3 linked regions of the Arabidopsis thaliana genome follow. The protein of the gene in region 1 interacts with the protein of each later gene in a pairwise test. Each region holds a gene or a part of one and is shown in the gene's direction. Other genes may lie near its edges. The genes, in order: CBL, AT4G07950 and AT5G44520.

Region 1 (4,638 bases):
AATTTATAGTTAAATTGATGCATTAAACTCAATGTATGCCAGCGAATCCAATCTTCAGCTTCTCTTCACAGTTGTTGAAAATGCACCGTCTGAAGTTGTACGATCGAATTGCACCCTTTCCCTTGGAGACTTGGCTGTTCGTTTTCCAAATCTTTTAGAACCTTGGACAGAAAATATGTATGCCAGGTTACGGGATGCTTCAGTTTCTGTCAGGAAAAATGCTGTCCTGGTCCTCTCACATCTTATATTGAATGATATGATGAAGGTTGGACTCCTTACCTCTCTCCTTGCTCTCTTTAAATATCTGCAATTATAGTTGGAGGTTTCATTTTGTGAATCCTGATTTCAGGTGAAAGGTTATATATATGAAATGGCTATATGTATAGAAGATGATGTGGAGAGGATCTCTAGTCTCGCAAAACTATTTTTCCATGAACTGTCTAAGAAAGGTCAGTTGCAATAGCTGCTTTACATGACATAGCAACTTCCACCTTTGAATCAAATTTAACACTTAAGTTTATTTTCTGCCAAACAAATCCAGGATCGAATCCCATATACAATCTACTTCCTGATATACTTGGGCAGTTATCCAACCGGAATTTAGAGAGGGAGTCATTCTGTAATGTCATGCAATTCTTGATCGGCTCCATCAAAAAGGTATACAGCTTTTCAATATTGAAGTTAGTATGACCTGTATTTATTCTTATCTAATCACTCATCTGCATCCTCATCAATCTCCAGGACAAACAGATGGAGGCTCTAGTTGAGAAGCTTTGCAATAGGTTTAGCGGAGTCACAGGTATGCTTGTATTGATGATATATCCTTACACCTGTTTTGGGTTTAATAAGAAGTATATCCCTTTGACATCTACACCTAAACTTGCAGATGGAAAACAGTGGGAATACATTTCGTATTCTCTTTCGCTGCTGACATTCACAGAAAAGGGAATCAAAAAGCTTATTGAGTCATTCAAGTCTTACGAGCACGCTTTAGCAGAGGATTTGGTGACCGAGAACTTTAGAAGCATAATCAATAAGGTCTGGTTTCTCTGGTTTTCGTCACCCTAGTCATTTTTAATGCTATATGTTAGTTTGACATCTGGTTGTGAATCTGAACAGGGAAAGAAGTTTGCGAAGCCAGAACTGAAAGCGTGTATCGAAGAGTTTGAAGAGAAGATCAACAAGTTCCACATGGAGAAGAAAGAACAAGAAGAAACCGCAAGAAATGCCGAGGTTCATAGAGAGAAAACCAAGACCATGGAATCCCTTGCTGTCCTCAGCAAAGTGAAAGAAGAACCTGTAGAAGAATATGATGAAGGTGAAGGTTAGTAATTTTTTGACTCTTGGCTAAAGCAAAGTTCACTGTACCAGACTTACGATAGTCAAATGCCAGTTAACGGCAAGCTTTTCAAAATGGACTGTTTTTTGTATTCTCAGGTGTTTCAGATAGTGAAATTGTGGATCCATCAATGGAAGAATCAGGCGATAATTTAGTTGAAACTGAGTCAGAGGAAGAGCCATCTGACTCGGAGGAAGAGCCAGATTCTGCACAATGTGGTACGGCCATTCCTCGTTATTTAAACCAAAAGACTAGTGGCGATAATTTGATTGAAACTGAGCCCGAGGAAGAGCAATCTGACTCGGAGCCAGATTCTGCACAATGTGGTACGACCAATCCTCGTTCCTTAAACCGAAAGACTAGTGGCGATAATTTGATTGAAACTGAGTCCGAGGAAGAGCAATCTGACTCAGAGGAAGAGCCATCTGACTCGGAGGAAGAGCCAGATTCTGCACAATGTGGTACGACCAATCCTCGTTCCTTAAACCAAAAGACTAGTGGCGGTATGTGAAAACTTCAATATGTATTTCAAAAATCTCACACAACTTAAGCTACATTTTAGAAATTGTTATATACCGTTAAGTAAAGTTGTGAGGTTTTCAGGGGAAGAAGGCGAATCAGAAAGCAAGAGTACAGAGTCATCGAGCAGCATCAGGAGAAACCTGAGGTCAGGAAGTAGAAGTTAAAGAACCATTGTGTAGATGCAGAGAGAGAGCGAATGTCTGTTCAAGTTGCTCAACATCTCGAGAGCTATCTTATAATTTACGTCTGTTTTGGTCACCGCTTTTGTTTCTCCCTATTATGCTTAGATATTGAAGAATCGACAATATTTATGTCTAATGTCCTAGCCGGTTTAGTTATGACAATTTGTAGCCAAAATATATAAGATCTGAATTAGTTTTGTATCAAATTTCCTTTTTCTTGTCAGTTTCACTGACGAATATATTAGTGGCCTCATGGGTACTTAAGAGTTAAGACTAAGAGTAGGTGTACACCTACTTTCCTCCACGTGTTATAACCAGACCAGATTTATTTCGGTTTTGTCTTATCGTATCTAAATAAACCGAAAGAAACCAAAACCGAGACTTAAAGCCGAGAGACCTTCGGTTTCTCTTCAGTCGTCTCTACTCTCACTTGAGCACGAGAACTGTCTCCGTCGCCGTTATTATCTCGTCGGCTAATATCTCAGACGAGAAATCGACGCCGGAGAAAAAGCAATTTAGTTCTCTTTCATCTACCAAAATGACATCTTCTCTGTCACTTCACTCCTCCTTCGTACCTTCCTTCGCTGATCTCTCCGACCGAGTAAGCTTTTTATTTTAATATAATTTATCGACCTCAGATAAAGTTAATCCCTTTTCTTTTGCTTTTGGTCTGGCTCTACCAATTTAAGTGATATCTAATCATTTTCGTCTCTGGGTGTTTCTCTGAAGGGTTTGATCAGTAAGAACTCTCCGACCAGTGTTTCCATTTCCAAGGTTCCAACTTGGGAGAAGAAGCAGATCTCAAATCGGAACTCTTTCAAGCTGAATTGCGTGATGGAGAAAAGTGTCGATGGTCAAACTCATTCTACCGTTAACAATACCACTGATAGCTTAAATAGTTCGTTAAGCTTAAATAACTTCTTTTTATTGGATCATATTGATGATAATCATAAAGTTAGCGTCTTTTTTATTGATTGATGGTGTTTCAATGTTTTTGCAGCTATGAATATCAAAGAAGAAGCTAGCGTCTCTACATTATTGGTGAACTTGGATAATAAATTTGATCCCTTTGATGCAATGAGCACTCCGCTTTACCAAACTGCTACTTTTAAGCAGGTATTCAGCCATAAAGCGAACAACTTCGTTTACTACGAGAAGATTTTGTCACTTGATACTAGTTTCTTTGCTTATTGTAGCCTTCTGCTATTGAAAATGGACCTTATGATTATACAAGAAGTGGCAATCCTACACGGGATGCATTGGAAAGGTAATTGTTTCTTAGCATCTTCTCGATTCCTAGGTTATTTAGCTATATTTGTATGTGTGTTTGTTCAACATTACTTATAGAAGTTGTATTCGTTTGTTAGCCTCCTTGCGAAGCTTGACAAGGCAGATAGAGCATTTTGCTTTACTAGCGGAATGGCTGCTCTTAGTGCTGTTACACATCTTATCAAAAATGGTAATTTCCGATACTGACTTCTCCTGGATTGTAATGTCTTTCAGTGTATTAGATCGGTAGCATAGACTTGGTTTCATTGTAGTACATTTGATTTTGTTTCTATAGGCGAAGAAATTGTTGCTGGAGATGATGTATATGGTGGCTCTGACAGATTACTATCCCAAGTTGTTCCAAGATCTGGCGTTGTGGTAAAGTTAGTATTGCTACCTTTGATTCTGAATTATATAACTAGTTATTCTTACAACTAAGATAACTTAATGATACCATTAAAAATCTTGTAGACGAGTAAACACAACTAAGTTAGACGAGGTTGCTGCTGCAATTGGTCCCCAAACAAAGCTTGTGTGGCTTGAGTCTCCAACAAACCCAAGACAACAAATTTCTGATATACGAGTAAATACTCTGTTTCTACAAAGTTTGGAGCCAGATACCACATGGCCGAAATCGACTTATTCTGCTGTAATGTTTAATTGGTTTGATGGTTTTCTGTCTTTGTAGAAAATATCTGAGATGGCTCATGCTCAAGGTGCTCTTGTGTTGGTGGACAACAGTATTATGTCACCAGTGCTCTCTCGGCCATTAGAACTTGGAGCTGGTGTGTAAAACAACTCAGACTTGCTTTCTATTGGCTAAAATTTTCGTTTTTCTGTTCTCAAATTTGCTTCTTAATACTCATATTTCAACTTGTCTGGCTTTTTAGACATCGTGATGCACTCGGCTACTAAGTTTATAGCCGGACACAGTGACGTGATGGCAGGTGTGCTTGCTGTAAAAGGCGAAAAGTATGTTGCCTCTACTCTTTTCTATCTGAGACATTTCTTTGAAATATCTGCTTTTCTTATAATAGTGTTAAACTTTCCAGATTGGCAAAGGAGGTGTATTTCCTCCAAAACTCAGAAGGTTCTGGATTAGCTCCTTTCGACTGTTGGCTTTGCCTTCGAGGAATCAAGACAATGGCTTTACGGATAGAAAAGCAACAGGTCTTGACTTGAACCCCCTAATTACCTTGAAATGTTGTTCTCTTTTCTTTTCTTTTATTGGTTGGTTTCATTACTTACAATAGATGGCAAAAATCTTCAGGAAAACGCACGGAAAATTGCAATGTACTTGTCTTCTCATCCAAGAGTAAAGAAAGT
Region 2 (4,638 bases), on another chromosome or scaffold:
CTAACCAAAGTTTTTTGGAATCTAATAGCAATAACAATCTCAATAAATGTCTTTTGCATTTCTAAACGGTTGCGTTTTTACCGCAACTTTTCATTAAAATATTTAAAATTTGTTTTACGGTCGTGTTTTTTTTGTCAAATATTTTTAAAATATTTATGGTTATGTTTTCGGACAGTTATACTTGTGTAACTATAGCCGTATCTATTTGATTCTGAATGGTTGTATCTTTTTATCGTAACTTTTTATTAATATTATTTGCGGTTGTATCTTTTTATCGTTATTTTTGTTAATTGCATATTTTGGTAAAACTTATGTAATAATTCGAATATTTGAATTATTATTATAATAATTTAATACATAAATATTAGGCTTGGGCGTTTGATTATGCTGTTCTAGCCTCTTAGGATCCATAAGGGAACCAAAAAAGTTTCGGTTCGGTTCAGATACTTAGAAAGAGAGCCGACAAATTACCAAATTCTAATAGATATCGGTTCGGTTTTGATCATTTTACTCAAAATACCAAAAAAAGAAACGAAAAATATCCGAAACTTTTTTACCAAAATAATAATGGTCCAAAATATTAAAAAATTAACAAAACTTTTTTGGGTGATAGGTTTTTTAAAAATGTATTGGCTTAGATGTAGTTTTGTATAGAGTTGACCAAATATTTTTTGGTTCGATTTGGGTATCCATAGATATCCGTTTCGGTTTGCGTATACCGTATATCCAATATCCAATATCCAATGGATAGTTTGACTGAGATTCAACAGGAGTATTTAGTGGTATCTTGATACGAACCGGAACCCTTTTTCAGCTTGGTTTGGTTTGGTTCTTTGGTTCCGGTTTTTATGCCTTGATCGTTCTAACTTCTATCGTTAAGTGAAGTAGTGGTTACTTTTCAAGAAATTTTACAAAGCCGAAATACTAAAAAATTTGGGGTCGATTGGTAACGACTGTTATATTTGGCTATACAGACTTTGACTATAGAAATTTTGGTTGTAGAGAATTTGGCTGTAAAGACTTTGACTTTAAAAACTTTGGCTGTTAAAGTATGATTGGAACTAAAAACTGTAGAAACTGTTACTATTATTTTTACAATATATATTTAGAATTGTGAATTATTTGAAAATGAGTTTTGTGATAATATACTAACAAAATTAATTTATTATAAGTTTTAGAAAAATACAAAATAAAATAAATAGATAAATATACTCAAATCTCAGTAAATAAAAAATATATTTAATCCATATAAAGATCTGATTAGGTGTTTTGGATCAATGAACTATCACTGTGATGCAATTGATGCAAAAAAATAATGAAAACTGGATCTCTAAAAAGTGAAAATAGAAAGATGATTATTAATTAATCAAAATATTTTTGAGTTAAATTACTTATTGATAGAGAAATTGTTTTTCATTTGTCATGGAGAAAACGAAAAGAAAAAAAAAAGAAAAACAGATTTTATTTTATTATTTGTTTTATAGCCCAAAAAGTCTCACATTGTGACTTTAAAAAACTGAACCTGAATTGAATAAAATAAAGCAGTTAATTTATTTTCCATCATCCGGGAGTGTGAGAGAGTTCTCTCTCTTATCTCTCTAATATCTTTTAGAGAGAGAGCCACATCCAAGTTTCTTTTGATGTTCCACAAAATCCATTAACGTCGTCCAGTTTCTTAACGCTGGCTTTGAGTCTGACATCCACCGGCTTCTCATGCAGTAGTTGGTCAGCTTCTTTCACGGCATCATCTGGCTTTGTTAGCAGAGATGTCCGATCCGCCGTCCGTCAATGCTTTTCACAGCGTTTGTCAGCTTGCTTCTGGCATCCGTCGGCTTCTTAAGCGACGGTTGGCTGGCTTTGGGGTTTTGTTTTTATTTTCGTTTTCTCTCGATTCATTTTGCTTTAGTTTGTTTGGATTTAGTTTGCGTTTTAATCCTTTGATTTGACTGCATAATTCTCTGATCCTTCTTTGTTTAAAGAGCTTAATTCGATTTTCAAGCTAATTTTCTCAATTTTAAAAATCGGATTTGAAGTTGCGGATTGGAGTTGTCGTTGGATTGATTTTAACGTAATTGAGGCTAATTTCTTCTTACCAAAGCATGTGAATCGTTTTATCTTTCCTGTTTTTTAGGTTTAATAATGGAAGCCTTGTCAGCTTATCTTTTAAGTCGATGATCCCGGAATTCATGAACTGCGTTTATCCATGGAAGATTTCAATTTTGCAGATCTAACGGCGAAGTTTGTTTGGGATTCTCTGAATTTGGTGGTGATGTTCATCGGATATTGTTGAGCCTTGATGTATTGATGCTCGTTACGACTTTTTCCGGTGACTAAGAATTCCTTTCGGTTGCAAACTATGTCGGCTGACCGACGATGACCTAAAACTCCGACGTCTCACGTGTTATCATCATTGTCTCCTTTCGTGACACGTGTATCTGTGCTGGACATGATCGACTCTTCCTTCAACCAGTGGTTTCATGAATTGTTGGGCTTATGTTTGTAATGGGCTTCTTTTTGCCGTCTCTGATACCGGGTTTGAATAACCGGTTTGAGCGTTTGTCTCTTTGTACTTGAAGTATTGTAAGATGTTATGCTTTTAATAAAAAAAACTTTTATGTGAAAAAAAAAAAAGAATAAAATAAACCAGTTACCTCAGATTCCTTGGATACTTCAAAAATGTCGGTTTGCCTATGAATCATAGACTTTAAAAGCTTTTAAATTAAATAAAGTCCTTAAAGTGGGATTAGTAAATTTTTGGCTTTTAATTTTTGTTCCAATCAACCCCTAAGACACTCAAGAAAAGAAGAAGAAGCATAAAAAGAGGCCTAAATGCCCAGAGAATTAAACAAATGGGCCTTAATATATAAACAAACATCAATCTCTCGCCGTCAAAGGTTACATCTATCGCCGTCAAAGGTTCCATCTATCGCCGCCGCTGAGACCGCCACTTTAGGCCGTCTCGTCCGCAATCTCCGTAACCAACACCACCCGCATCGCCTGGTAAGCTCGATTTTTTAATCATTTCGATCTCATATGATGTCGATCTGTTCAATCTTGCGAATTCGATCTTTATTTTGTTCTGAGATTTAGGGTTTCACGAATTTGTGTTCTAGGTTTTCTGGCTTAATCATTTTTATTGTTAACTGTTCTGATTGGTTCTTATGCTTTTGGTTACACAAAGATCTCGACTTTTTGTTGACTCTGTATGCAAATTTGTCAAAAGTCAAAACGTTGTTACAGAAACTCTCTTTCGTGCTTGTGTTTATGTATGAACAATAGCTTCGCTATTGGGTTTGTTGATTTCACCACACTTGATTAAATATGTATATTCTATTGAAAATGTGGTCAATCTTGGCAATAAAAATTGAATTGTTGGTTTAGAATGTGGTCGTCACTCGTGAGTATAGATTGGATTAGTGGATCGAATTATTAAGTCAGTGGATTGAATTGTGGTATTATTAAATTGCTAGATTTTGGAGTTGGTTTCATTATTAAACCAAAGTCTAATGAATGTAAAGTTGAATTTATGGAAAAGTATTGGTTATTTCCGGTTAAGAATGGATTACTTGAATTATAAGTTACTTCATGACCTGCCTTGCTATTAAAGTAAAAACTGGTTGTTACACGAACACAGTAGAACAATGTATTAAAAACAGCCCTTCCCTCTCTCTGTCTCTATATATCTGTCTATATCATAGTTTTATGAATTGATTTTTGTGGGGGATGATTTTGCAGCGAATTGATCGGTGAGGTGGAAGATGGAGTTTTGTCCCACATGTGGGAATCTGTTGCGCTACGAGGGAGGTGGGAGTTCGAGATTCTTCTGTTCCACATGTCCATACGTTGCCAATATCGAAAGACGGGTTGAGATAAAGAAGAAGCAACTTCTGGTTAAGAAATCTATAGAACCTGTTGTTACTAAAGATGATATACCCACAGCTGCTGAAACAGAAGGTATTTTCAGTCTCTGGTCTTCTCTTATTCTAAATTTAGAACTGTGATTAGTTAGTTAGTCCATGCTCTGTTGATTGGTCGACTAAATTCGTAAATACTTTAAAGTTGATTGGTGGAAATCAGTTACATAATTACTCATGTTATGGAAAGGGCAAAAACAATAATGCTAAAGTGGTATTACATCATTCATGGTATGCAAGTGCAAAAACACTTGGGGAAAGAGTAGAGTAGACTTTTTGTTCAATGACTTTCTCATGTTGGGATTGTTTTGTTTTAACAGCTCCATGTCCAAGGTGTGGCCACGACAAGGCGTACTTCAAATCAATGCAGATTCGTTCAGCAGATGAGCCAGAATCAAGATTTTATAGATGCTTGAAGTGCGAGTTCACTTGGCGTGAGGAATGAACCGATGATCATCACCTTCTCTGTACCCGCTAATTTTGCAATCTTCTTTGAGTTTGTTTTACCATTACAAAGTTTGTAGTTCCTCTATGTACTCTGGTTCTTTCTGTCTCAGAGCTCAAGAGTTTCTGTATTTAAAACAATCGATAAAATTTTGGAATATTGTGCAAAGTTTTAATTTTTGAGGTGAAGAATGTAAGCAAATTGATCTGTTTTGAGATTTTTAGTATCAAGACTGCGATGTATTTGTTATTGCATTGGTATTTGACTTCTTCCTCTTCC
Region 3 (4,638 bases), on another chromosome or scaffold:
TATTAAAGTCTTCATATTTGAAAGAAAAGCTAAAATGTTTATTCACATTTAGTTTCTTGATTTGTAAACCTGATCTATAGCTGCTACAACATCTGCAGCAAAACCTCCAAAACTCTTATACAATGCCTTGTAAACAGAAATACTGAAAACAAAGTTCAAAAACATAAAAGTTTAAGTTAGTTTTGTATAGATTTCGACATTGATCTAAGTCTTATTATTTTACTTACAATGCACGAGGAGCGATTCCACTAGCGTATCCAAAGTTATGGTTAGAAACTATCACTGGAACTCCGTGGTTACCCGCTGCAACCGAAGCTGTGTGTCTGCATATATATCCAAAGCAACAATCTATAAGCTTCAAACTCTGTTTTTATATGATACATTCAACAGTTACACTTACGTTCCATGTCCATCTCCATCGAAAGGAGAAGCGTAATCTTCAGATGAGTTAAAGATTCCTCTGGTTACAGCGGATTGCGCGAAATGCCGTGCTCCAATAAGCTTCTTATTGCAAGATCCTGATGGAAAATCCGGTGTAACTTCACAAACACCTGAGAAATGCTTAGGGATTGGATATGAACGCTTAGAGTCATTGTCATTGAAACTAGGATGATTCGGATCGATCCCAGTATCGATAAAACCGATTATAACTCCTTCTCCAGCAATCTCAAATCCACCTTCTTTGACCCATGCTCCTTGTGGTAAACCCATAAACTGTGGAGTATAAGTTGTTGCTGTCCTAACAGAGTAATCCAACACTATGTTTGCTACTTCTTTTCTCATTGAAAGCTTCTCAGCCTTAAAAAAAGAAAAACCATAACACAAAAAAATCAAGATCAAGAACTCAAGATTATTTCTACAATTATCAATAACTCAAGATTTTTACCTGTTGTGAGTTAATAAACAGAGCAAATCCATTGATAAGATAATGGTAACTATAAAGCTTTATATACTTCTCTCCTTTTAGAGTCTTTCTCAAGAAAGAGTCATGAGATTGAACAACAGATGGTATCTTTGACTTCCCATGACGTTTCCTTGAATTGTTCCTATAATAAAAACGCAGAATACAAAAAGGGTTTAACTAAAGCTTCACAGAGAATCTAATGACAACAAAAAGAATAGAATTTTATCAGTACCTTGGTCGCAATTTTGGTGTAAACTTTGACTTTTTGTGTTTAAGCTCTTGTTCTTCAAAGAGATGGACAATAGGAGGTTGTTTAAGTGTGACAATGTACACAGCAGAATCATCATCATCGTCTTGTTGTTGTCCCAAAGTGTTATTAGACAAAAACACAAAAGAGATCATAAGTAATAAAAACCCAAACCTCACCAACATTACTCTAACCATTTTTTTCGTCTCCCTTCTAAATTAAGAAAGTGGGAAAAAAGGGTTTTTGATTTAACACTTTCCACTAGGTTTTATACAGAGAATGAATGAGTCATGAAAGCACTTAAAACCCCACCTAAAACAATGATAATTTAAGGAAAAGAAAGAAAGCTGCAAAAGAAGAAGAACCCATTAAATCATATTCATGGTGAACAAGTGGAATTGACACCTTTTTGGTGTAAGGAGGTCGGTGAAAGAAGAGTGCGTATTTATATAATATTGTATATATGTAATATAGAGATAGATAGATATTAGGAAGAACTGAATAATCTCACGAGAAAATATATGAAACTGTTTTTTATTGGATATTGAAAAATTGTGAGCCAAATTGAGTGGTTACGAAGAATTTGGTTCCCACATGTGCTTAAAGTAGAGGAGAAAGGAAGCAAGGAACACTCATAAGTGCGATCAAACTTAAATGACTCTCCTTTTTGTTTTCTTTCAATTATTTATTTTTTTCCTCGTTGGATCGTCAATACTAATAAGATATCCAAAATGATACAAGATAGGGTTTTGATTCCCAAAAAGTGTAGATTCTTGCCAATTAGTGGATGTATACTTAATGAAAGGTTGTAGAATGTGGCACGTAGAGTTATTCGTTTTCATGGAGAACATGTTCATCTAGAGAATGTCGTATTTGTAGAACCGTTTGAGAAAAACATTTTCATCAAAATATATCGTATATGCATAACCGTCCATTGTGGATTTTAATGTTGCAGAGAACTGTATCGTAAAATTGATAGGTACTGTTTATCGTAATCATAAATGTGATATATAGTTTTAATACGTCACAAATGTGATATGTAGTGTCAGTCTACACCATTTGGCGAGAACAAAATGGTAGAAGACATGGGGAGAATTCTAATACGACAGACAGCTCGACTAATTCGTTGGATTGATAAGCAAACCTGAAACACTCTTTCCTTTATCAGACTTTAGGAGATAGGAGATATCATAGAGGACTCTAAATGTGGTTTGCCTCTAGAAGTTAAAAATTTATTTAATTTTTCAAATTTCAGTTTTTTCTCAAATTCAAATTTTGTCGTACTTGTTGTAAAAACCGATGTTTTTTTTCTAATATAATTTAACATTAGATTAAAAAAAAACGGATTAGCTCAAAGACCATAAAATAAAATTTAAGGATATAGTTAGAATTTAAAATTTAGGTTTAAAAATTCAAAAATAATATTTGGAACTTAGTAATTTATGTGTTGCTTTAAAATTATAAAATTATATGAAAATAAATATTTAATATATATTTTATCATTTTTTTTGGAACAAAATATATATAATTTAGCCTATTTTCGTAATTCTCCAAAAAGAAAATGGTCGTGTAATATCGTCGTAGTTCGTACTCCACATGCACCACAAAACTGATCGGGAGATAAGAGCGGTAAAAACCACCGAGTCACGACTCAGTGACTCAAATCGTTCTTCCCACACAAAAAAAATGGTTACTGCGACAGCATCAACTCCATTTTCACTCTCGTCGTCCGTGGTTTTCACGCGCCGTCGTAATTTCAAACGTTTTCCAGTTTGCGCCAGTCTTTCTCCGGAGGTTTCTCCTCTTCTCAGAGCAGCTCATCACACTGTAAGGGTTAAATCGGGAAAATTGAATCCTTGAAACTCAATTTCAAATGGGTATTGTTTGAAATTGTGTTGAAAATTCATAAAATTGAAGAAAGATTGATACTTGATTACAAAACTTTTGTCTGGTAATGTTTTCAGGTGGATAATTATGTAAAGAGTGGGATGATTATTGGTTTAGGATCTGGAGAAGCTTCAGATTTTGCTATACGTTATTTGGGTCAACAACTTGGTTCTGGTTCTTTACATAATGTTGTTGGTGTACCAATGTAAGTCTTTTGCTTCTCTCTCTGATGTTTATCTACTATGAATCCAATAAAAAATCAATCTTTTGTTTGTTCAGTTGTTGAATTTCCCTATTCATTAGTTCTTCGATAATGATTTTGTTGTTGGTGTACCAATGTGAGTCTTTTGATTCTGATTCTGCTGCTGGTTATCTTCTATGACTCCAAATAAAGTATCAATCTTTTTGTTTGTTCAGTTGTTGATCTCTCTATATTCAATCTTTTATGTTACGAGTTGAGTTTTGATAGGCTTCATGATGATTTGTCCTGACCCTTTTTCAGGTCTGCTCGAAGTGCGAGTGAAGCAGCAAAGTATGGAATCCCCTTGGAATATTACCGGGATGGTGTTCAGGTAGCTGCTTCTCTGTGTTTTCTAAAGCGGTTTGATCTATTTCTGCATCTAGGGGTAATGTTTGCAGTGTGACACTTTTGTAGATTGATTTTGCATTTCATGATGCTGATGCTGTAGAAGAGAATACGCTTATTGCAGTTATTGGACGGCGGAGAAGTTCACAGGAAGATGACTATATTCTGAAACAAAAGGTGTATGCAGTTTCGTGTACTTTTTGCAGTCTTTGAATACTCATTGCTTAGCTTTGGGCTGACAAAAGAGAGATTTTACAATACAGTCTATTGTAAAAGTAGCTGATGAGGCAGTCTTCATGATAAAGGAAGAACAATACAAAGCCGGTCTTGAAGGTTCTATCCCTGTTTTAGTTCAATCTGTAAGTAAATTTCTACTGATGAACTTCGTTTTAATCCCTTGGTGATATGATTCAAAACTTTTATTCCTTGAACTTTGATTGCAGCTTAATTGGTTGGCCATAGCTGAGGAGATAGATGACTTGTATCTAGGCGATGCAGAGGTGTGAATCTGCTTCTTTCATAAATGCTTTCTCGGGCTTTTGGTTCTATCGATTGTGTCAAGCCTTGTTTGAGTCATTGTATTTTACTTGGTGGAAAAGGTGTGGAGAAGAGCTTCTGTTGAAAATGAAGGCCCTCTTGGAGGAGACTTTCCTATAGTTACCAGTGATGGTCACAACATTCTTGATGTTATATTTACAACTCCGATTCGAAGCCTCGGTAAAAGCTTATACTGTAACCATTGAAACTTGTGCAATGGTCTCTATTGTTGATGGATGCAAAATCCTGCAGCTGACTTGGCTACAAGCCTTGATAAGATTGATGGGGTTGTGGACCATGGACTAATTATCAAAACTCGGTTAGTTTCTCCAAATTAAGCAGTCAGGTTTAGTATGTCATTGGTCAGTAGTAAGAATCTGTTTTCTACTTTTGGCATTACAGATGCACGGTGGTGATTGCAGAAGAAACTGTTGTAAGAAGTGTTACCTTGCAGACCAGTGCATTGGAGGGTGGTGT

The links.
Region 2: the proteins of CBL (region 1) and AT4G07950 interact in a two-hybrid assay, tested with the Arabidopsis thaliana proteins (one large-scale study listed by BioGRID).
Region 3: the proteins of CBL (region 1) and AT5G44520 interact in a two-hybrid assay, tested with the Arabidopsis thaliana proteins (one large-scale study listed by BioGRID).

The regions. Positions count from the first base shown.
Region 1 is NC_003074.8:21,112,465-21,117,102, reverse strand, and holds the start of CBL (cystathionine beta-lyase), read left to right. Parts: upstream 1-2,365; 5' UTR 2,366-2,581; coding exon 2,582-2,644; intron 2,645-2,706; exon of another isoform or gene 2,707-2,772; coding exon 2,773-2,941; intron 2,942-2,990; exon of another isoform or gene 2,991-3,043; coding exon 3,044-3,159; intron 3,160-3,239; coding exon 3,240-3,310; intron 3,311-3,410; coding exon 3,411-3,502; intron 3,503-3,607; coding exon 3,608-3,695; intron 3,696-3,783; coding exon 3,784-3,895; intron 3,896-4,000; coding exon 4,001-4,097; intron 4,098-4,202; coding exon 4,203-4,284; intron 4,285-4,364; coding exon 4,365-4,482; intron 4,483-4,582; coding exon 4,583-4,638. Other genes in the region: AT3G57060 (binding protein), read left to right, coding at 43-265, 350-449, 542-657, 742-799, 887-1,038, 1,120-1,324, 1,438-1,842, 1,928-2,025. UniProt on the Arabidopsis thaliana protein: Catalyzes the penultimate step in the de novo biosynthesis of methionine. Its role in methionine metabolism may affect plant development in different organs, probably by modifying plant auxin transport.
Region 2 is NC_003075.7:4,795,152-4,799,789, forward strand, and holds the start of AT4G07950 (DNA-directed RNA polymerase, subunit M, archaeal), read left to right. Parts: upstream 1-2,689; 5' UTR 2,690-3,000; intron 3,001-3,735; 5' UTR 3,736-3,758; coding exon 3,759-3,954; intron 3,955-4,234; coding exon 4,235-4,359; 3' UTR 4,360-4,638.
Region 3 is NC_003076.8:17,934,641-17,939,278, reverse strand, and holds the start of AT5G44520 (NagB/RpiA/CoA transferase-like superfamily protein), read left to right. Parts: upstream 1-2,724; 5' UTR 2,725-2,747; coding exon 2,748-2,978; intron 2,979-3,115; coding exon 3,116-3,243; intron 3,244-3,540; coding exon 3,541-3,610; intron 3,611-3,693; coding exon 3,694-3,801; intron 3,802-3,887; coding exon 3,888-3,983; intron 3,984-4,067; coding exon 4,068-4,124; intron 4,125-4,223; coding exon 4,224-4,341; intron 4,342-4,413; coding exon 4,414-4,480; intron 4,481-4,563; coding exon 4,564-4,638. Other genes in the region: AT5G44530 (Subtilase family protein), read right to left, coding at 70-142, 228-323, 401-798, 887-1,046, 1,137-1,348.